Linked DNA regions of Rhinolophus ferrumequinum. The protein of the gene in region 1 interacts with the protein of each later gene in a pairwise test. Links are inferred from orthologs where the notes say so. Each region holds a gene or a part of one and is shown in the gene's direction. Other genes may lie near its edges.

What was found.
Region 2: the proteins of SIPA1L2 (region 1) and AP3M1 interact in binary tests that used the Homo sapiens proteins (3 or more experiments, as listed by UniProt). The two-hybrid records come from large-scale screens. The link is inferred for Rhinolophus ferrumequinum from reciprocal best matches to the Homo sapiens genes SIPA1L2 and AP3M1.
Region 3: the proteins of SIPA1L2 (region 1) and DDX6 interact in binary tests that used the Homo sapiens proteins (3 or more experiments, as listed by UniProt). The two-hybrid records come from large-scale screens. The link is inferred for Rhinolophus ferrumequinum from reciprocal best matches to the Homo sapiens genes SIPA1L2 and DDX6.

Annotation. Positions count from the first base shown.
Region 1 is NC_046310.1:24,634,622-24,642,059, forward strand, and holds the start of SIPA1L2 (signal-induced proliferation-associated 1-like protein 2), read left to right. Parts: upstream 1-4,309; 5' UTR 4,310-4,498; intron 4,499-7,438.
Region 2 is NC_046299.1:51,445,957-51,454,316, reverse strand, and holds the start of AP3M1 (AP-3 complex subunit mu-1), read left to right. Parts: upstream 1-5,323; 5' UTR 5,324-5,583; intron 5,584-6,518; exon of another isoform or gene 6,519-6,709; intron 6,710-8,360. Other genes in the region: ADK (adenosine kinase), read right to left, coding at 4,992-5,056. UniProt on the Homo sapiens protein: Part of the AP-3 complex, an adaptor-related complex which is not clathrin-associated. The complex is associated with the Golgi region as well as more peripheral structures.
Region 3 is NC_046294.1:88,088,736-88,097,109, reverse strand, and holds the start of DDX6 (probable ATP-dependent RNA helicase DDX6), read left to right. Parts: upstream 1-5,337; 5' UTR 5,338-5,496; intron 5,497-5,505; exon of another isoform or gene 5,506-6,038; intron 6,039-6,149; exon of another isoform or gene 6,150-6,278; intron 6,279-8,374.

The DNA of each region.
Region 1 (7,438 bases):
ATGGGAATCTTATCTGGGAAATGGATGGTTAAGAAAACAAGAAACTTTTCCCTTCTGAAGGATATTTGGCACTGATTTTTGATCACTCCATCAACACTACCTTTCTAGATCTCCGTGGCACATATCTGTATAATACTAAATTTTTAATGCACTGCCTTTGCACTGTTCTTAGAATTGTGTCCTATGTAAAAATCCCAGCTCAGCTGTATTGTACTTCCTTGAGGATGGTCTTGTTATTTATGTGTAATAATCTTCTGCATCCCCAGAGCAGAACTGAGCACTGAGTAGTCCTCCAAATATAATTGCAAAATTGATTTTTTTTTTATTACAAGAGTTTTTCCTTCGGCTTCTATGGATATTTAGCATATTATTTGATAATTCTTACATTATTTGTTGGGCTCTATTTGAATAGGAACATGTGCTTTATTTTTAGCAGGACTACTGGTATACCAGGGCCAGTAACCCAGCTTTCTCAGCTGCAGCTTAGCCTTGTTTTTTTTTTTTTCAATTGCTGCAGAACTTGGCATTTCTTACTTCACAAGTTTCTGTTGCAAGATGTTTCTGTTTTGAAGGAAAGGTGAAGCTGTGCCCATGTGCTCATCCACTGGGAAGATTTCCCCTGTAAGAAGAAAATGAGACCTGGCATGGACGCAGCACCATGTAAGTGTTTGTTATGTAAGTGAATAAGCCTGTGCCTGGCCATAGGGCATGGCTGTTTCCCACACACGCCTGGCACAGTTGGCTCCTGTGTCTTTGCCCACTGTGCTTCCTCTCACCAACAGGGCTGTCTTTTCCTTGCTAAGCAGGTTTGATATCCTAGGTGAAGCCTTCCCCATTGCCCAAGCTTTGCCTGCCAATGGCTGTTTCTCCTGCTTTCCCTGTGGGTACCACTCATTGGTGGTGTTGAGCATTTTCTCCCAAGTTCTGTTCCTTATGATTCTGGTGTACAACCCTCTGGGTGCTTTGAGTTTACCCTAATGCCCCGAATGTAGCATGCAATCCACACATATTTGTTGCAAATTATGAATATTCATTTGACGTAAAAGAAACACTTTAAAAAAGAGAGCTGAAAGTAGAAAAGGAAAGGAGGAAATGATGGTGGGAATCGAACCCCTTACTTAACTTAGCCATTCAGGTTCACTGCAGTGCATGCATAGCATCTGTAAGTAGACTCTTGCTGTAATGTGTCAAGGAAATAAAACTCCTGGTTTGCTAAGTTCAGAGGTAAATAGAAACAACTACCAAGCTAGGTCAGCCAACAAGCTCAAAACCGTGGAACAAGGTAGACAGCTGGTATGTCTTTGAACTCTCTGCCTCTTTACAGCTTTTAGAAAAAAAACAGGTAAGACTGACGGAATTATTTCAGAAGGAGTCGATGTGCTTATTCACAGTTGTAAAGAGAATTAATCCCTTGAGTTTGTTTCTTTAGGAACTCCAGGAGGGTGATGAAATTCACAAGAGAAAAGAGAAAAAGTGAGGCTTAAGAAGTCTTCACCTCAGGGAACATGAAAGTGAGAAGATAAACATGTGATAGTTCACTCTAGTTTTCAGGCAAATACAAATTTTACGCATCATAGTTGATATTTTTTCTTTAAAACTTTAGCAAAATGTATAGCCTTAATAGCAAAATATTTTTTTCCTCAGTAAGGTATCCTAAGGCCAAAATGATAAACTATCTTAACAGGTGCCGCAATTCCAATCTCTATCCTGTTTATCTTTCCCTATAAAAGCAAGCGAGAAAGGACACGAGCGTTAAATTTAATAATATTTCTAGAATATTTTATTTGGTAGGGAAGATCCAAAATCATTCTTGAGCTTTGTCTCTTGCGTGTCTCTTACAGTCTGCCACAAGACCCTCTGGATCTTGCCCGGGGCCATCTTGCTACTGTCCCCATTGACCTGGCACCACACAGGGGCTCAGTAGGTGTGCTGAGGCCAGGAACATTCTGATGAGGGAGGGATGCATGGCATCTGGGCTCTGGGCAAGTCAGCTCTCGCAGACTTTCATAAACACACACACACCTCTTGACTCTGCACTGTCAATTACAAGCATTTTTAAAAATGCTGTCAACTTTGTTAGTGACCAAAGGACTTGGCATATTTCAATTTTAGTTTGCAAACCCCAAGAACAGGGATGGTAGTAAGGTGGGAGAGGAAGAGAATGTCATCATTGAGAGTGTCTGGTCTGACTTCCCCAAAAGACCATTATGTATTGGGCATTAAGGAACACACCAAAGGTGTCTATCAGACAATGGACAATTGGCTCAGGCAGTCGCTGCCTCAGGGGTCAAAACCCTGGGGAAGAAGACTTTCTTTTCCTCATGGCCCTTATAGAACAGTGGGAAAGACAATGACATGTGCCATTACGAGAGTGGGAGAAGTACTGTGACAACATGCTATGAAGAGAAGTGCTTCCTCTTTAGGTGCCCCAGAAAATGTCCCTCCATGGCTGCCCCTGTGGGATTTTGTTCAGACCTGCGTACAGCATTTACAATGTGTGAGATGGGGAGCTCCTGGAGAGCAGAACCTATGTCGTATGCGTTTTTATACCTCCCACACCCAGCGCCTCTGGAACACGACAGGGTCTCCATAACTGTTGAATAAATAAATGACAATTTTATAAAGGCTGAGAATGAAGGGACAATTGAGAAGCCCATTCAAACCTGGAGAAGGCAAGAATTTTGTCATGTCATAATATTACTCTTTGAGATGTTTTATTATACCCATTCCCATATATTACAGCCGTGTTTTAAAAGAGATAAAAAAGATTTTACAATGTGTACATGCTTTAGATCACAGAGAAATATAGCATGGGAGGGCCTGCCTCAAATGTTTCACAGGGTTCTGTTCCAGGGCGTGTTGTGATAGGGAAGTATAGACATTATCTATACAGGAAGAATTTCACCTCTAGAAAGGGCAGAGCTGAAAGCCCTGAATCCAGTCTCAAGAAGTGCGGTGCAACGTGAAGCCGGCTCAGGAACCCCTGGAAGGTGAGTTAGAGGCTACCTACACCAGTCTATTCCTGCCTGTAGGCTGTAACCCCCACTGTGTCATTAGGCAGAGTCAACTCCAGTCTAGCTTAAAAGAGTCAGTCTCCTGTGATCCTTTCAACTCAGCAACCAATGCAAGTTTCAAGCAATTTGCATGAATAGTTAGTTTCAAGTAAGGCTTCCTCCTGGGCAATCAACACCTCCTAGGAAAGTAGAGAAGATAGGTATAAAAAGTTGATTTCCTCCTCTTCTGGATAAAGATCCAAGAGCATTCCTCCCTGGGGCTGAGGGCTGCCCAAGGGGAAGGGCGGGGTGAGCGGGTCCGGGAGATCCTGGACTGCGAGCCCCTTTCAGCTTCCCTCCTGACTCCTAAAGGTCTCATCTCCATAGCATTTCTGCGCACAGGCACCTACCTAACCTCATTCGAACCTTCTATTTATTAACATTTATGCCTTTCTCTGTGCAACCTTCCACCACAGTCACCGGGGGCTGGGACACCACCTGGGCCGACACACAAAGGGGCATCACCTCGGTGATCTGGGGGCACCCTTCGGAGCCGGCTCACAGTAGAGGCTTCGCCTGAGCGGTCGGGGGCGCTCCCCGGGGCTGGCACACAGTACGGGCTGCCCCTCTGCCCCCTTCCTGTGAACACGGCGATGGCGATGGGGTGGTTTGGACGGTCGCCAGCCTCAGCGACTCTACGGCGTCCGGGGCAGGTGTCCGCGCAGCGCCCGCAGCTGCCTGTGTCTTCTCGGCCAGAGACCTTCAGTACTTCGCGGCGCGGGGTCCCGAGCTCCAGGTGGGCGCGATTCTCCTAACTCCAGAGAGTGGAGGCCAGAAAGGGTCGCGACTGCGCCGCGGGAGCTTGGAGCCAGCTTCGGGGGTTCACTTACCCCTGACAGCGGGGCGAACCAATCCGGAGGAGGACGACGACGGCTTTCCCTCGGGGCGGGTCCAGATAGGCTGCACCCGCCTCAAGGCCGCAGCTCCCTCCCCAGGACCGAGCCCGAGCCCCTCCGGGACGCGCCGCTCCCGCGCACCCGGGCCTGGGAACTGCGCACTGGCTGCTCACAGAGCCCGCGGGCCCGTGGGACGGACGGCGCCCTAGTCCAATCGCGGGGCGGGGCCGAGGGGGCCTGCAGGCAGCGACCAATGGGAGGCCGCGGCGCGGGTGGGGGGCGGTGCCTCGGGGCGGGCGGGCGGCGGCGTCGGGAGCCGGCGCTGCAGACCCAGAGCCCGGGAGGAGCCGGTGGAGCCCGAGGAGGACGGCGGCGGCGGCGGCGGCGGAGGAGGAGCAGCGCCGCGCGCCCGCCTCGGCCGCCTGCCTGCCCGAGCGCAGGCCGACAGCTCCAGCTCAGCCGGCGGGTCCGGCCGCCTCCCGCCGGAGCCCGGGGCAGGCAGAGCCCGGGCGGATGGGCAGAGCGGGGCGGCTGGCGTCCAGGCGGCGGCCCCGGTACGCTCCGCGCGCTCGCGGGCTGTAGCTGGTCCCGGAGGTCCGCGTCTCTGAGGTGCGTGTCGGGGCGAGCGGATGGAAGCCTGCTGGTGGTGTCTGGGGACGGTCTCGGCGGGGACTGTCCCGCGGTGAAGGGGCTGCACCTGGGGGGCTGGCGGCCGGGAGTTCTGGGGCGCAGGGAGCCGGGGCGCGGGGTCCTGCTCGCAGACGCGCCCGCGCTCCCGAGCCCGGTGGAAGCGGAGCCGCCGCCGCTCGTTCTCAAAGTTATCGATCGCCTGAAAGGTTATTTCCGTCTTGGTGACACGCTCACTAATGAGGACCTCCTCCGGGCGCCCGGCGACTCCTCTGTGACTAACCTGAGAGAAAAGATAAAAGGTTGCCCGGCGCGGTGCACCGGCGCGCTGGGCGAGGTTCCTGCCGAACTTGCTGCGGGTGATTCCCGGGGAGATGGTGCCCCGAGCGCCCGCCGCGCCCGGTCCCGCTTTGTAGGACCGCGAGCGGCCGGCGACCCCCTCACTCGGCGCGACCTGCCTTCGGAGTCAGACGCCCTCTCGCCGCCCCGGGGGCCGAGTCTGCTGCGTCCTCCGCTCGGGTCCCGTTCGCGTCCCCACGTTATTAAAGCTAGTTTGACCGTGTCCTTGGAGTATCCCCACGAGCACCTCAGATGAATTTCCAACCGTGCCGCAAACCCGAAGAATCAATTTCGGTTCATCATGTAGGAGCGCGAGGAGGCTCCTCGGGAAGGGAAAACAAGTTGGCATTACCCCTCTGGGAGGTATTTGTCATCATTAACCTGCTTCGGTTAAATTAATTCAGCCCGAGATGACTCCAGCGCGAGTACTGGGAACATCAAGTGCACCGGTCACGGGATTGTGGCCACCAAACAGGATTTTGGTTAAAATAAAACAGTAGTGATTTTGGATTTTGCTGAGATTTGGACTTGGTTTTGGTAAGGATGGCCTTTTTTTTTGTTAAACAAAGAACCTTGGTGATTCTCATAGGTTTGCTCAGTAAGTTCAAAATAGTCACTTAGATTTCTCTTTTCTTTGCCTCTTTTGTCTGCAGTTTTCATTTCTAAATGTTAACACTAGATGGCTTTCTTATGACAGACATTTAGTGAACTGCGCTTTTAGTCGCCTATGTGCAATCAGGTTTTAATTCTTACAGTTTTACAATTAGTAATCAGGGGGGAAAATACTGTTATTGCTTTCTTTGAAAATGTGTTACCTCCCTATAAAACCAATATTTATGCAGATTATCAAAAGGTGGTCTATTATTTCTGCATTCTTAAAGATGAATTTCAAGAGACAACTTGGTTACTGTTTGTAGTCACATATTTGAGGGTATCTGTTTCATGTTTTGCCTTCATATTTGAAGAATTCAAAGTTCTACGGGAAGATCTGTAATCCTGTTTAGACAACATTTCCACTTATGATGTTTACCACTTGATTTCGTAGTTCGCTGCTTGATTTGGAGAGATATAAAAGAATACTATTCATGGGAAAGTAGAATCTTGAGTTTTGGATGCAGATAGCATTGATTCTGGCTAACGTTTTCATTCATGCATTTGAAGAGGTGTAGTTGAAGTGTGTATGAATGATTCGTACCAAGAATTAACGTTGGGGACAACTTTCCTTCTCCCCAGCTGATAGTTGATATTTGTCTGTCCATTTTTAGCACAACCCCTTTTATGAGAAGTACAGTAGCCTCTAGTTGGTCATTTCAGCAACAGCACGTTCTCAGTTATGTGTTTTTAAGTGCTTTCTTCAAAAGTAAGACCATAGCAGCCTGTCCAAATCTTGCCTAAGTGGCAAACTTATTTATAAGCTGGAGAAATATCTTGAAATTATCTTTATAGCTGTCATTTATTGTGTGTCTTGCCCAGCTTAAAATATAACATGTTGAATTTGTTTGTTCTAAATCAGAGCATATTCATAAATAACTGAAGGGGGGGAAAAAGCTAGCAAACATCTGGGAAGTAGGAAATGAAATGAAATCAGAAACAGCTTTTATCAATACCCACATGCTACCTATAGATGGGGCGAAGTGAATTTGGATAAGAAGCAGTGTAACATTTGGTCCGGAAAATAGAGCGGGAGATAAATTATAGGTATGGAGGTGGAGCTTCTGGCTTTGGAGTGTGGGCTGCAGATTTTCTCCAGCTGGTTTAAGTGTATATTTTTCATCAAGTGCTTTTTATGTTTTCAAAATTTTCCTTTCTCACAGAGCTTCGCTTGTATGGAATGTAATAGGGGAATTATGAGAGCATGATGACTTGGCATTTACGGTGCTTATTGTAGTTAAGGCTGTGTAATACGGGTTTGTACATTTTTTTCACCCCCTTTCCTGACAGGAATGGTATTTTGAAGAGTTTTTGATACTTGAGCTTAGTAAACTCCTGTCTATCTTAGGGGATCTTTTTACCTGAGGCAAAAGGGGTAGTAGTGAGTTACTCATTTTGAAAATCTATCTATTCTTGAAAGTGAGGAAATACTAGTGAGCCACCCTGAAAGGGCAATTGTCTGGCAATTCAAACCAGTTTAAAAGTGCTGTGTTTGGTTAACAAAACTAGTTTCAAAGGGGTTGCACGTTTACTGCATAGTTTGCAAAGAACTGTGTGTTTATGTGGATATAGTTCCCTAGACCCCAGCCAAAATTGGTAAATGCAATTTTTTTTTTTATAAGATTGGGGAAGGCATTGAATCTTTGAACTTATGATGTACTTATGGTGGTGGTTTAGGATTACAAATCCTTTCAAAAACATGCTGAATTTGAAGAAAATTTCGACTGTTATTGTTAACTGAAAAGCAAAACAAAGTTGTTGTTTTTTTCTTATTTGAACTTGAAGGAAATCTGCAGTGCAGTCCTAAAGAATACACAAAAACATGTTCTGGATTTTCTCCTTCTATAATGCACCTAATTCCTTCGCAGGATGATAGGGTAGAAAGCTCTGGGCCAGAGGGTCGGGAACCTCGTTTCCTGCCACAACTGCCTG
Region 2 (8,360 bases), on another chromosome or scaffold:
TACATGATAGTGGAGAAATTACAGTTCCCAACTCTGAGCTATCTGGCAGTTCAGCCACTTCTGTGTCACATCAGGTTCACAGTTTTTAAAGCAACAACTGGAAGCAGAGGATTTCAGCCTTCTTTTCATCTAGCCCCAATCCAGCTCCCAGTTTCATCCAGGGTATCTAACTCTGTTCCCCTGCACAGTTATTTCCACCAGCTCCTAAATCCAGAGTCTCACTACCGTGTTTCCCCAAAAATAAGACCTAGCCGAACAATCAGCTCTAACGCGTCTTTTGGAGCAAAAATTAATATAAGACTGGGTCTTATTTTAATATAATACCTGGTCTTACATAAGACGAGGTATAATATAATATAATAATATCATATCATATCATATCATACCGAGTCTTATATTAATTTTTGCTCCAAAAGACACATTGTCCAGCTAGGTCTTATTTTGGGGAAACACGGCAGGAAAGGATCTTATGAAGGCATTCATACAAAGTACCTCAGGAAACTTTTGTTTTCCATTTTCCTTCATAGCCCAAAGCCTTAATCTTAAAGAATTAAATTTATGAATATAAGTGAACAGCATGCAATATCATCCAAAAAGAGCCAAACTCAATTGTAGGCTGCATTATAAAAAATGCAAGTTCTAAAAAGTGAAGATTATCAGTCCCACTCAACGCTGTGCTGATGATTCATTTAATAAACATTAATTGAACAGCTCCTAAGGACCAGGCACTGTGCAACACACTAAGAACACATGCTCATCCTTCCTCTTTTGCAATCTGCATATATTTTCTCATGTAATCCTCACAACAGACCCCTCCAGGAACAGAGTGCTCAGTTTAATCTTCCAGAAATTTTTCTGAAAGAGGAAAAAAATGTGTTTTAGAAGAAGGGATCAAAGGTATTGCTTGGTCACCTAAGATACTTACAGATTTTTCTTCCTAAGTTTACAATGCAATTTTAAAACACGAGGTCTTGAATGAGGTAGGAGACAAAGTGAAAGAATAAAATGAGGCCATGAAAGTGAATGGTTAGGAAGCAATAATTTGAGAAAAGCTCAATATTCATTGATTGGAGAACTGTCATTTGTTTCCTTTTTAACATTATTAAAAATCATGACCCAGAATAATCTTTAATTGCTAATGTCAGAAAGAGTTATGTTGTGGGCCCTTAGGGCTGAACGCTTCCTAACATCAACTTAAGAGCTTACAAATATTTGCTATGATGACTAAGTAGAGCTAGGCCTGAAGATTAGGCAGAACTTGAGACTGCAGGTAGAGAGACTAGTTAAGAGGTCAATAAAAAGTCTAAGCAAGATAAAGTCTAAACTGGAGATGTGGCAGCAGGAAATGAAAAGGAAAGGCATTTATGAGATATTATTGAAGAAAAAAAGACCAACTTGATAACTCTATGTGGATGGAAAAGGAATCAAGTAACTAGGTTCCAAACTTTAGAGAGATAAGTTAGTGGTACCATTTACACATACAGGAAGCAGGGAAGAAGGTGCAGATTTAGGTCAACAGATGGATTTAGTTTGATATATATGACTTTGAAGTGTCAGCAAGACACTCAGAAGGAGATATTTAGCAGACAGTAAGATTAGGGTCTGAAAGCTAAAGGATATAGAGATAGAAAGATCACACATGTGAAGAGTGTCCAGTACAAAGCCTGGACCCCATACACCTTCTGCTTCAGTCAGACCAAACCATATGTAGTTCTCCATTGGGCAGCTCTCTCCCATCTCTACCTCCAAACAAACTTTCCTATAAAGCCAGACACCCTACTTCACACCTGGTTAACTCCTTGTCATCTTTCAGAATGCTCAGGTATCATTTTCCCAAACCCCACTCATTTCCACCAGGAGAGTGTTACCTGGGTCTTACCTCTCTATATGTAGGTACCTAATTTTTAGCACCATGCTAAAAAGAGCAGGCCCTTGAAAGACTGATTGAAAGAACAGACTTGGCATATGCTCAACAAGCTTTGGAAGGAACTGCATCCTCTCAGAGGTGACCGCTAAAGAAATAAACTTGGATGACATTTCCAAAGGAGAGAAAACTAAGACGTCCTAAATATAGGTAAGCATCGTGGAGCACCTTCACCTAGAAAGCAGTTCCCAAAAATTCTTCTAGACTTTTTTCAGCCCTAAATACCTCACCTGTAACACAGGGATCGTTACGCCTACCTCACAAGTTGCTGGGAAGATTAAATGATATAGCATACATACAGCACCAAGTATAATGTCTCAATTAATGTTCCCGTCTGATCCCCAACTCAATGTGAAAACATGTTAGCGTCTGCTTATTTATTGCAACTTTAGTAACTGCTACCCTGAAAAGCAATCCAGGTTAGAAAAACTATGCCCATTTGAGAAAGGGAGGCTAGACTTGTCAGATGCTCCCCCTAGAGCAGAGTTTTTTCAATCTCAACACTATTATTGTCAATTTTGGCTGAATAAGTCTTTGTTGTAGGGGGCTTCCTGTGCATTGCAGGTTGTTTAGCAGCATCCTTGAACTCTACCCACGGGGTGCCAATAGCACGCTCCAAAAAAATGACTCCAGACATTTGCAAAATGTCCTCTGGTTGAGAACCAGTAGCAGTCCCCAACAAAAATGTCTCCAGACACTTCCAAAATTTCCCGTGGTTGAGCACTGCTACTCCAGAATTCTGAAATTGTCACAAAAGTCTAAATCCTTTCCCTGGCATCTACAAATATCTCATAAACTTATGTGTTCCCTCACTGACTGATCTACACATTAACTTAGGCTTAGACTTTGTAAGTCATTCTCCCTAAAAGTTAACCAAAACTGATAGCTAGCCTCTGAATTGTCAAGCAAGTCATCATAAATAACGCATGCAGTCTGACCACTCAGTGTATAATCCCACTCAACCCTTAAAGCCAAACTAATATAATGAAAGTAGAAACAGCCAATCCTGAAACATCTTCACACAAAATTAAGAGATTTGTCCCAGCCCTCAAGTGTCTAAATCTTTTAACTTTAAATCTACAGGTGGCATTAAGTAGATAGTGTATAAAATGAGTTTCAGTGGCCTAAAGACTTTTACAAGTGTTAAATACATTAATGATATACAAAATATATTATATATATTTAAGAATTATTTTGTATCATATGCCCACATATTGCAACAACATAAAAAGTTACGTACACTAACAACAACAACAACAAAAAACACCCAGAAGCAAAAGTAGTGGAGAAACAAACAAAAACTGAGTTAACAATTCACTAGTATTTTGGAATAAATTGCTTGAAGTTAATTAAGTATAGCATGGTAATTAAGAGTACAGACTTGGAATCAAACTACCTGGATTAAAATCCCAACCCTACTAGATAAGTGACCTTGATAAATTACTTAATCTCTCTATGCCTGTTTCCTCCTTGGTAAAATAGAGATAATTACAGTACCCACATTGTAAGGTTGTTGTGGAATTGAATGACTTAAAATAGGTTCAGTGCTGATATAGTGTCTAGCAAATACATACTTAAGTATTAAACATTATTTATCATTCGTTGTAAGGATGCATAGGCAGAAAGTATACCTTTGGTGGTTATATAAAAGTAGACACAGTAGAGTCCAACAACAATGAACTTGCACCCAAATGCTCTGGGTTCAAACAGTTAACTAAATATTTCATTTGAGCTTCAATTTCTTCATCTGTAAAATAGGAAAGCACTTTGAAAATGGATTAACATAGGAAAATCTAAGGGCAGTTTGTTTAGTAGGATAGTAGGGAAAAGTTGCATCTGTCTGCCAATTTACTAGAGGAAACTTTGTGAAAAGAGGTGACTTTTAAGGAAACACTCTAATAATGGGTCAATAGGGAAAGCACTCGAACCCAGATAGGTCTAATTCAAAAGCCCCTTTTACTCTATAGTTTGTAAACTTAAAATAAAAATAGAACATCCTGAGTTGTTACAAAATAAAGTTTATTTTCTTCGTATGAGGTAGGCACATTAACCCTTTGACGGTAGTAGAAATACATTAAAGGCACTGGCAGGGATTTGGTCACCATCCATTCAAAACAGCATGAACACACCACCAAACCCCTAAGAGACCCTTTCTTTTCAATTATGAATGATTCATTCTTTCGGAGGTAAAGAGGGGTGATGCTGGAAGAAATGAGATTTCTCTTGTATAATCAGGCGTGTCCCAATAGTTTTAAATCAATTCGATATGTCCCTTTTTAATTAGAAAAATCATTGCTTTCCAACGATTATTGCAAAAGCAAGGACTGTGCACACTGCACTTTATACTTATTAGGAAGGTATATTTAACAAACAGCTTTTGATAAGTGAAAGTTGCGACATCAATCACATGTGAGGCAGGTGTCGGACGCAGAACTCTCCCCATTGCTGCCAAAAAGTACAAAGAAAAAAAGAAAAATCAGCCTTTCCTAACCATTCAGCCAAAGGCCGCCCCCACAAAGCCTCAGAGGCGGGGACTGAGTCCCTGGCAGATGATCTTCACAGGTGCCAGCAATCAGTCTCTATGAAAAGGAAGGTCAAGTCGTCCTTCCGCGACATTTACGAAAAAATCCCCAAGAATTATGTCTTTGCCCCAGGGCAGAGCAGTCGCTGGGTCTCCTCCTCGTCACCCCACAGGGAAGAGGAGATGGCCGCGTTTGACCGTGCGCTGGTCCTGCCCGGTTCTCCCGGGTCTCTCACCAGCCCAGCCTGAGAGGGCTCCCACGTGGCGCCTGCATTTAGCTCTCATCCGGCTCCGCAACCCCGACCGGCGCTCTGATTGGTCACCGGCGGCGGGAGCCGCTCCGGAGCACGAGGCGACTCAGCCAAACTGGGCGGGCACCTGACAAGAGATCGCAGCCCTGCGGGCAGCTCCCGGAGCAGCGGTTTCTGCACTTTGGCCCCATGCCGGCAGCGAGGACGCCACCCAGCGCCAGGGCCGCACAACTACACGTGGGCCCGGGTCGCGGCAGGTGCCGTCACCCTCTACCCTTCCTAGGGTAGCGCTCACCTCAGCGCTCGCGGAGCTTCCACCTTCAGCTTTTTGGGTTTCGGCTCCTGCTCAGCCGCGGCCATCTTTACGCTCCCAACCCACTTAGGCACCGGCGTGCGCCCCTTCGACTCTCTGGCCCCGCCCCCTCTCGTATCACCGCCTTCTTTTTACTAACCCCGCCCTCCCGACTCCTCCCAGTCTATGCCTCTCCCACCCACAGTCATTGGTTCTACCTCTCGGCTCCACCCATTAGCTAATATACAAACCCTTCATGGCCCCGCCCACCCAACTATAGGGGGACCCCAGACTGAGTTAGGCTGCGGATGAGCGCCTGAATCCAGATGGTGTGAGATTGCCCCCCATTCTTCTAGATTCTGGGTGATCTAAAAGATTTATATCCTAAACCGCAAGAGACATGTTTCTTCTCATTCAATGTCTTCCCGCTTATTTAATATTTCCAAATCGGTAGACCTAGTTGGTTTCTTTGAAGCTGTTAGTCAGGCAATCTACTGGGCACTCCAACTGCGGGGTCCTCACGGTCTTCTCAGCTGCCTCAGCCTCGGTCCGGAGAGGACCCGGCGCCGAATCACTGACAGGCCCAGGTGTCGGGGTGAGTGTGAGGGGCGGGGAGTCTGAGGTCAGGGGACAGTTCGGAACCTGGGGAGTAAGCTGAATAGCTGGGGTTCCGGACTCCAGCTTGGACTGCGGACCGGAGCGTCTCCGGTGCTGTGGGCCGGGACCGCGCCTCGCTCCCGGCCTTCCGGGCTTTCTTGCCAGCAGGGCCGGAAGGGAGCGGTGCACCTGCAGCTCAGTGTTTTCAGGCCCCAAACCAGAGATTCAGGCTCATTGGGGTTCTCCGGCGCGAGAAAAAGGTCTTGTCACCCATAGTGAGCTGGAGTGCCAACGATTCGGACGTCAGCCCCAGGCTTCTGCTTTGGAGAACAAAACCTCTGACCGAGCCGAGCGGACCTCTTGTCTGGGGTGGGGAATACAGTGAGGAGGGGATTGCACTTCTTCAGGAGAGAGTGAATATGGAAAAGTGATGAGCGATGTGGCTGGTTGGATTTGGTAGATTTGGATTGAACCTGAAGCCTATACTTTAAGTAGGTGGTGCCACTATAGAATTAGGAGCCGTCGGATGAGGAGAAGGAATTTTGTGGAACTTAGGGATATATCGAGGTTGAAACAGTGATTTAGATGGAAATGGTAGAAAGATTAAAAGAAAAAAAGTGTGGGAAGTAATCCGGAAAGAAACTTACAAGGTGAGAACCCAAACAGGTGAAGTTTCATATAAGAGGATAAGAAGTACTTGGTTTGTTTGGAGGAACGTTACCATGAAATGTACAAGGGTCAAAGGAGTAAATTGAAGTCTGAGAGTAGGTTGTTGGATTTGTTGATTAGGAAGTTAGCCATTTGAGAGAGCGACTTGAATAGAGTCAGTTACTGAGAGGAGAGACTGCAAGTGAACTCATTTGGAGTATGAAGCAAAAGATTATTGAGCATGACAAGATCCCTAAAAGGTTTGAGGTTTGTTTGTTTTTAAAGAATACAAAATACATTAAGTTTTGGTGCAGAAAGCAAGTAACCCATGTCTAAGATTAAAGATTCAAAAAGAGGAGATAAAGACCTTGGAAAAGACGAAAGGAAATGGGATCAAAATTACAAATGGAAGAATTAGCTCTGGAAACAAAGGAGGACACTTTCCATTGAAAACATAGGAAAAGTGGAGGAATGAGGTAAATGAAGAATTACCTGACATATCTTTAGTAGGAAAGCTCTTTTTGAAATAAGGTTAGCTTTTCTTACTGAATCTTAGGATTTTTACAATGTTTCTAAATAGTCAACATAATATATTATTGGAGTTCCCTGCTGATTAGATATTTTTAAGAATATTTAAGAAGCTCAATAATATCTCTATTCATGGGTAGCAAATGGTATTTGTAGTCTCTCTCCCTCTACAAATGACCTCTCTTATTACACACAGAAAATAAAAGCCATCATCTTCCTGCAACCAAATATACAAATCTTGCCGTTTGGTCAAATCCTTTCACCTAGTCTCCCAATACCATTCTCTCCTACTGTCTCCGGGTCTTCTTTTTTTCAGTTATTCTCCTACATCATCAGTCTTTCCCCTCTACTCACACCTTTCATTCAGCATGTAAAAATCATCTTCCTTAATTTTATGAACCACTCCTATTTATTTTCTTGTCTTTTCATCCCCTTCACAGCTAGAGCTCTTGAATGTATCAACTACTCGCCTTATCTATTTTCTTCCCACTTCATGCTATTTATTTATCAGCGCACTGTAGCATATCTAGTTTCCAGCTAAACGACCACTGAAACTACTTTTATAAAGATCACCAGTGTCCTGTGTTAAATCATATATCTCAGTGGGGACAAAAATTGCCTCTTGTGAAACAAACGAAAAAATCATACTCTTTTTATGTATAAAGCAAAGATATGTTTACAGTACATAAAGAGATATACAGATATACTGTAGTACTAAAATTTTTATGGGAGGGGTATGATTGAAGGGAAATCTGAAAAAGCAGGTAATAATGAAAAGAAAGTTGAGAAACACTATTAAATCAACAGTCATTTTCAGTTCTTGTAGCTTGAATTCTTTGTGCCATTTAAAATGTTTAATACTCCATTCTTTTGGAAACACACTAACACACTCTAGTCACTAAAAAACATTATCCTCCCCACCCCCTTTTTTTTATTCCCTCTTCAGCCATATCTTAGTCTTCTTTTTTAGGCCTACTTGCTTGACCCAACTGCTACTCAAATGTTGGAGTTCCTTCCACAGTTTCTCTTCTACTATGCACATTCTCTCTCTGTAATTTTATTCTCCTTATAGTTACAATTCCCATTAGTAAAAAATCATGATTACTCACAAATCGATCTCAAACTTGGCTTCTCTCTAAAGCACCAGACCTATATATACAAAAGTCTTTTGAATATATCCATTTGAGTCAAATATATCCAGATTTGGATCAGATTATACAGGATTAGGGCTAAATGCCTCATTTTCCCCTCTCATCTCCACCCCGCCCCCTCCCTAATCTTTGCTCAAACCTGAATGTTTCTCTTTTCATTTTCCTCCATCCTTACTGTCAACACTCTAGTTCAGGCCACCACCATAACACATCTCTCAACTGGTCTCACGATACTCAGTTGCCCCATTATGCAGTTCCCGCAGTACAATCTTAAAACTGTAAATTGGATTGCATGAATCTCCTCCATAAAACCATAGAAAATGATTTTACATTGCCCAGAGAATAAAGTGAACTAATCTCTGCTTATCTTCTTCTCCAGTCTCATCTCACAACTTCCCTCCGCCTCCTAAAATTGATGAATTTGTACTGGATTTGTCTTGTGTTTTCT
Region 3 (8,374 bases), on another chromosome or scaffold:
TCCAGCCTCTGCATGTTAGGGTTCAAAATAACATGTCTCATAGCTATTTCATGGATGATTTGAGTAAGTTCCATATATGACTGCCATTGACTCACAGTGTCTGGCAGCTTGCCAGCCTGTCCCCATACTGTGCGTACTGCAGCAGTGAGGCACTCCATTAGAGAGTGGTTGCCCAATGGTTTTGAGCCAACCTATGGCAGTTCTGTAACCTTTGTCGCAGGGACAGATGCACTGTCACGAAGGCTAGCTTTTCCATCTTGCCTGGGGAGCAGAGAATGTTGTCTGCTCCCTCTTCCCATAAATGTAGTAGCCAAGCCGAGACTGGCTCTCCAGGGCGCTGTCGGTACCGCCTCCCCAGCTCCTGCAACTCAGTGGGAGTGTAAGGGGTGTAGGTTGTGAACTCAGTCACAGCTGGGTTGCCTGCAGCAACGTCCTGGGTGCCCAAAGGTTGCTCCTGCTTTACCTTTTGTTTCAAGATTGGCAGGGTTTGGGGTTGAGAGCTACATTGTCTCTACTCCTCCACTTCCTCTGCCTCTGCCTCAGAGTCTCCACTGTGGGGCCCCTCTTCTAACAGGCGGACCAGGCTTCCAGTGCCTCCAACCGGGACACCTGGTCCGGCACCTGGGCCATTTCATTAAGCGCATTTTCCGTGTTGAGACTCAAGGCAGTGAGGAACATCCAGCCCACGCGGCCGGCTGTAGCCTTCGCCTCCTCCGGCAACCGCTCAGCCAGAGCCTGCAGGGCCCTCTCCACGCTGGCCGGAGAGTCGTCCATGGCCTCCCACCCGTCCTTGGGGGTCCAACTCCTGAGAACAGTGGCCACCGGACACCACACACTGTGTGGGGGCCACCCGCCCTCCTGCCCAGAGTCAGACTCCATTCCTACCTGGCCGGAATCTTGCTCACCTGCCAGGTGTCTCAGTGGGTGGAGGCCTCCGTGTAAGATGTCCACAACCCTCGGAGCCTAAGGCCGCAGCACACCACCAAAATGAAGGCAACACCATCCACGGCCAAGAGGGTGGTGTGCCAGCTGGAGGCCTGAGTCTCCCAGGCAGACCGCGCCTCCCGTTCCTGGTGTGGCTCCTCGTGGGCCTCCCGAAGCTGGGCTCTCACATGCACAAACCGCTCCACCATGCTTCCGCAGGTTTTGGCTGGCACCACACCCTGCTTACGAAACTGAGCTTTTATACGTATAAACTGCTCCAGGACATTCCGGAGAGGTTCGGCCGACACCACACCCTGCTCGCTACGCCATTTATCGTGCGGGGCGGCCTGCGGGGTCTCTGCTCCCGCTCCCCACATAAGAACGCAGGATGTGGTGAGGCCAAAGAGGAACACCCGCAGAGCCATAGGTAGGGGTCATACCACTATGGTCTCACTGGAGGCTGGATTCACACGACGTGCGACCTGCTGTCTGCTTTTCTGCCAACCGACCGACTCCCCTCAACTCGACTCCCCAACGCAGCCCGCGGCAGTTATATCAGTGGCCAATGGCTCAACGGTTACAGCTGACGGCCAACTAGCCACAGCTGATGGCCATCTATTACCCGAGCCAGCACCTTTCCACGTGAGGCTGGGAGCCTGGAAACTGCTCTCTGGGGCTCTGTCCCCACAGTGATGCACACAGTTCCCCAATATAATGGCTACATATCATTGCCCACTTCTATGGAGACAGAGTTCTAATATCATTAATGTCTATCATTAATGCTGCCAACAGATTATAATAAATTGTCATCATTGGGGAAAAAAGATGGGGAAGGTGAACGGGAATAAGAGGTTCAAATTTCCAGTTATAAAATAAATAAGTCATGGGGATATAGTGCACAGCATCGGGAATGTTGTCAATAATATTGCGATAGCGTTGACTGTGTCAGATGGTTGCGGACTTACCATGGTGATCTCTTCTTTAGGTATATAAATGTTGAATAACTGGTGTACACCGAAACTAATATAATATTGTAGGTTAACTCTATTTTAACAAAAATCTTTAAAGAAAAGAAATACACTCTTGTTACAAGGTCCTGCATACAAAGGAGGCATGGAACACATATCAACTCTATGACAATTCCACAAGATTGCCATGGACCCCCATCAATGTTACTCGTCAGCAACTGCCCCTGAACAAACACAGAAAGTACCCAGGGGACCAAGGCATTGTACTTGGGGACAGCGTCAGTTCTTCCTTGATCTGAGCAGACCATATTAAATTTATACCTGAAGAACTAGTGTCCAGATTTCGGTATCTTCTCAGCTGCATATTATTTTCAGATTAATGAATCAGTTACAATTGCTGGTGGACAGTAATTTTAGGAAAACTGAATAGGCAAAATGAATAGTTACAATCCTCTGGGTGAGGACCAGAACGTAAACAATGCTGGGAGCCGATGAGGCAGAAAGATACCTGGTGAACTGAACTAGCTGGTTATGGTGCCCTGGGAATAGGGAAATATCTGTCCGAAGGAATATAAATTCTGCAAACTAAACCTGGCAGTTTGGAGAAAATGTTTTTAACCCACCCATTCCCCTTCTTGTTTGTAATATTGCTTTCCTACTTTTCGACTTGAGTTTACTCGAGAAGTGGAACATTTATTCCAACAAAATGTGCCCGGTGAGGTGTCTCAGTGATTAAAGACATCTGCTTATTAGTATATATTAACTCCAGTGTAGTACTTGCACTTCTCTGAGGATATCTTTACTCAGCCCTCAGTCGGCTGATGCTGCATTTTCTTCAGGTGTATAATTTGAAGAGGCAATTTTTACCTGCGATGAAGTCCAAAAAAAAATGATACTTAGCTTCTTGGGTTCATTAGCCTTTAGTCTTGGTTAGTGACTACCCGATGTTGCTAGAGCATATTTGGAAAATAATTTTATCTGTTGAAACTTCTTTTGGAAATCAGAATGTTATACTGCAAATCATGGAAGAGGAAAAATGTTGTACTATAAAGCTTAGCCAGATGTGATATAATCATTTTATTGAGGATATGGTATGAGCAAATTTTTTTCCTTAAGTAATGAACACATTTGCTTGTAGTTTGAGTTAAACAAGTTATTACATTTCCTTAAAAAATATACAGAAAGTTAAAAGTGTGAAATCCATTTTAGCATGACAAAATCATTTAGATTTTAAGATAGTATCACAGATGTAAATATATCCAAGTTCAAATTACTTGGAATTCTAGATTCTAAATATTTTAAATTGAAGTTAAAATGAAATCAAGTGTAAATTTACCTGTGATTTTTTTTTCTTTTGGTTATTTTTAGGATGTGAGACTGGCAAACAATGTTTGCTGGGAGGATCCATTATTGTGATTGAATTCCAAGTAGCATTTTTCAGTCACATTTCACTCTTACAAAAAAAAAAAAAGAAAAAAGAAAAAAAGAATCCTGTTGTGTTTTAAACAGAAATACTGAAAACTTCAATTCTATTTGTGAATGTTTTTCTTTTTAAAAGTATCTTTCCTACGGACAGATTCTCTAGAAGCCAGCCAACAATCCAGGCCTAACACTTTAGCTAACAGTTCAAAATCCAAAAAGTAGTGTAGAAGGGAAGAGTGACTAACAACAAAATGAAAATGGTCAATACATCTCAGGAAGCACTTTATTACAATAAGTAGGTGACTTCACTGGGAATAGCACACTCTACAGAAACAATATTTACCACAGATCACCCAAACTATTATACTGAATATTAACTAAAAGATTTATGCAGTGTTTTTAAAATACACATTTTGTATATGTAAGGATACTGTGTACATTATCAAATAATTCATCTATATTTCTTAAGTGTCATATTCTCTGATTCTTGTTAATCTGTGTGAACTAGGGACAAAAAAGTCATTGAGATAGTTGGATTAGACCCCAATCAACTACTAAAATTGAACCCAGAAGATCCAAGCTTTCATAGCTTAATTTTATGCCGTCTATGCTTCTCACAAGAGCAGTAAAAAAAAAAAAGGCTGACATAAATAAGTTATAAGAATATCTGATCTTATAAGAACATTACACAGAATCTTTAAAAGTTTTAGCCCTGGCAGGATTCCTAGGTGAGAATGGGCAGCTATTTCATATTTTACTTTTAGTTGCCCCCTCAGTTTTTTTTGGTCAGGACTTCAACCAGGCCCCTTTGGAAGTTAACAGTTTATTTATGCATGCAAACCCTTTTCCTTTGCCGGGTCTCATTTCTTAGTGCTCTAGGGAGAGATCCCACCAGGCAGTGAGTAGCCTGATTTTAAATTCTTAGGCTCCTCTCCCTCCCACTCACTTCTTGCCCTCCTCCCCTTCACATTCCTGCAACTTGGAAAGACAGGAAAACAAGACTTCACACTTTAACATTTTAAAGGAGCCAACCACTAGCCAGCCACCTCTCTCTAGGATGGACACAAGGTGTACGGTTATTCCCTTACACGAGTGGGTATTTTAAAATCTGGTTGGGAGATGACATGCTACAACTTTAGAATTTAAAAAATTGTAGGGGGAGTCTTTTTAAACTCAAAAATAACCTCACATTTCTCTACCACCTTTCCATTGGCAGTGTGGAAATAAACAAAGACCAACAGGTAAGAACAGTTTGCTATAGCAAAGAACCCAGCCACCTACACTGAGTTTCGTGGACACTCAGGGCAGGCAGCGAGAAAAGGGGAAAGCTGCACGTATGCTCTGATTGGAGTGTGTTGGCCTGGGGAAGCTAGAGGCCTGCTACGGTACCTAGAAGCCAAGCGTCTCGTGTGATTGGTTTGGGGAACATATTTGGCTTTCTCTGATTGGTCCCGAGTTGGAAGCAGGGGCAAAAATTGGGGAAGCTGGCAGTCAATGACTGATTCCTGCCCATTCTCGGCGGATTACTGCGGGGGCTGTTGTTTGTCTTCACCAGCTGCTTGCAGCAGAGGTTGTGGGTCGGGGTCCTGTAGTCACACACGGTCTGGCCATTGTCCTATATATTCAGTCTCTCAGCCGGGTGAGGCCCGGGTTTTTCTTTTCCCTGACAGCTTTCTAGCTTCGAATTTTTGTTTTACTTGGAACACAATTTTCCTGTTATTTTTGTTAAGGGAAACGGAGACATTAGGATATAAAAAGTATTTATAAGAATAAATACATAAATATCCTTCAGTGAGGGTCAGGCGGGAGAAAGAATCACCCTCGGCCTTCCGGTTCCCCATGTCCCTACAGAACTCTTATTTCCATTATAACCGACTCCTCAGCGGCTTTCCTTTCCTTTGCGGGAGGTCCGGCCTTCCCCGCCCCCTCTTTCTTTGAAGATAGCCTATTGGGGCCGGGAGGAAGGTCGTTGCCCTAGGACCCCATCCCCCTCCCCCCACCCCCTCCCGGCGCAGCCCCAGCGCAATTCCCCCTCGTCGTGTCCTTCAGTCCCCGCCGGGCCCCCTTCCGGCCCCCTCCCTCGAGCGCGCCGGCGTCTCACGGCCACTAGTTCTGCATGTTCCTGGACGGACGCGGCCCCTTTGGTCCTGCAGCAGCTTCCCTGGCCCGCGGGAGATGTCAGGTCAGCGCTCCCCTCCCCGATTCGCTGCCGGGAGAGGCCGTTCTCCGAACGCGTCCTGGGTCAGGAATAAGCAGATCCTCTCTGGTCACAACTCTCGATTTCCACTTTGGGGGGCGGGCGAAGGCTGGGTGGACTTCGCAGTCACCATTCCCTAGTCGTTTCTCCTCAGCTGTGGAAAAAGCAGCCCTCCTTTCCCTTCTGAGAAGAAACCGTACTTCCCCTTCAACTTTCCCTCAGTTCTGGGCCCGCTGGGTGCCCGTTGGTGTGAGAGCACCGCTCTCTATTTTCTCTTGGGAGAGGTTCCGCGGCCCCTATTCTCTTGCCGCGAAGCCGCAGAGGCCGTGACGCCCTGGCGGGCACAGCGGCGGTGGCTGAGCTCTCGCCATCTTGCGTGGAGGAGGAGTCGCGGCCGCCGCCATGCGGAGGCCGGCAGCGAGGCAGGGAGGGAGGGGGGCGGCGGGCGAGGGAGGGGGCTCAGGAGCCGAGTTAGCTCAGCCCGGGCGGTGACTTCGGCGGAGCCCTGAAAGCGGGCAGCGACGGCGGTAAGGCCGGCCGGCGGGTGGAGCGGCGGGCGCGGGCGGCTCGGGCCTCGGCCTTTACAGCAGAGCGAGGGCGGGGGCGGAGGAGGCCGCAGAGAGGGGCCGGTTGGGGGCGGGCGGAGGTTTCCGAGGAGGAAGGAGCCGCCGCCATTTTGGGAGCTTCGAGTCAACAATAAAGGACCGAGGTTGCCGAGCGGGTGTGGCCTCGGTGGTAGGACTCAGGCCCGAGCCGCGGGGAGTGGGGTGAGGTCGGGGCTGCGGGAAGCCTCTCGGCCGGCGTGGGGGACACTGAGGCGGAGGCCTAAGACCTGGCTGGACCCTGGGGAGGAAGGCAGGCGGCAGCTCTGTGGGGTGGAGGCGTCTGAATATGGGGCTGTGCGCGGCGGGGTCTGTAGAGGGAGCGGGCCAAGTACTCGGAGGAGCTTTATACCGTAGAAGACGAGGGAATGTGGGACCATGGGGGCGGCAAGGACTTACGGTGATGTTGGAGGTTATAGGGTACGAGGCGGCCCTATAGGGGGCGGCAGGGATGTGCAGTAGTGGAGGGCTCCGTTTAGAAGGGGACCAGCAGCTGCTTGATTGAAGTAAGGCCTTGTAGGTCGGTAACGAGTGGGTGATTCTGGAACCCCTCCGAGTCGTGGAGGAAAGAAAGACTTTCTGGGTTAAGGGTTTCTCTTTGGGGCCTCATAGGAGGAGTACCTTTTGTTTCCTACCCGCGGAGCTCGTTCCCTGCTCTTGTTGCGCAGATAGGATTGCAGAGCCCCAACCCGTTTGTGTTTATGGTCACAGAGAGCTGACTTGGTGTATGTGTGTGCGGTTTTTTTGGGTGGGTGGGGTGAGGCGACAGGGAGAGCAAGAAATTATTGTCCTACAATTAGGGGGTCCAAATCATTGGCTAGTTTCCTTCCCTTATTGCTTACTCCCTTTTCCACAGTCCCCTTTTCCCCTCAGAATAAAACAGGCCAACTTGCAGATCCAGCTACAGAAAATGCGCTGCCTTTGCAAACAAAGCTTTCGCCGGAGATGACGATACTGTTTTGGGTGTGAAACTGTCAGTTGCTAACTACAGTCCGGGAAGTGGTGTAATTAACTCCGTATGGGGCTCCTCCCAACTAGTCTACGTTTCGTTCGTACTATTTAAAATGCAGAAATATAATTTCAAATCTAAATGGGGAAGGGATAGAAGGAATATTTTCTCTGAGATGTAAAACTGCAGTGCAGGTTTCAGTTTAATTAAGGAGGGGAGCAATTATCAGTCACAATTTGGATCTAGGGAGACAGGAAGTGTTACATGCCTGATGGACAGTAATGATATCATTTAATCTTTAGAGGTTGCCTCCTTCATCCTCTAGTACTTTGCAAACAAGTCTTCTGGTGTGAATTACGCGATACTGTTGATCGTAATATAAACCTGTCAATACAGAATACCATTTACTGCCCTGAACTGAAATTAGGTGACTGTTAACCACTATCTGCTTAGGAGATTAATTCCATTCTGGTAGACTTCGAAATATACCTCTGTGTGTATGATGATCTGGATTTGCTTGTGAGCAAATTTATTTCCAGTTTTTTAAAAAGTAAGAGACTCAAGAAATATTTTAAACATATTGTTGGAGAAGACTTTATATATGGCACAAATTAATAAAGCTTGTGTATTTTTGGTAAGAAATGTTAAAGGAGTTAAAAAGGAGTAGGCCTTTCTTTTCTGGCCTTTGCAAATTAAGTTTTTATTTACTACATTTTAAAAGAAGAATTCAATTTGGGGAATAATTAAAAATGGAGGAGATAAACCAGTTCTTTTTTAAAACGACTTGTAATTAGTACTCTAGGTTTCTTGGGAAATTTGATTCATTACTAGTGTATTTAGCCTTTCACAGATTTTTTTTTCCCCAACACAGGCACTTTCTTTTTAGTTTTTATAATTTTTTAATACTGTTATACTTCTTGAAAAGTGTTATTGAAATGTAGCTAATAGTTTTTTAGTATTCAAATTTTATAGTAGCTAAGGAGCTTCTTGGCTGTTTTTCAAAAAGGTGATTTTGACATGTAGATGTGTCTATATCCCTGCTTCAGTTATTGTTTCAAAGGGCAAAAACTTACAGGAAAAAAGAAAATGAATTTTTCTTCATAAAGTTGAACTTCTATAGTTGAAATTCATGAGTGCACAAATGTGTTTTTTCTGAAAGCATTAAAATTAAGTCAAAAGCTCACTTTTCAAGGATTCTCAGTTGCTGTCAGAAATAGAAAAAAAATTAATGAATTATTTTGCCTTGTTCATATGTAGATTTACATTAAGTTGTGTGGTATTTCATTGAGTTGTAATGTAATGAGGTGTAATG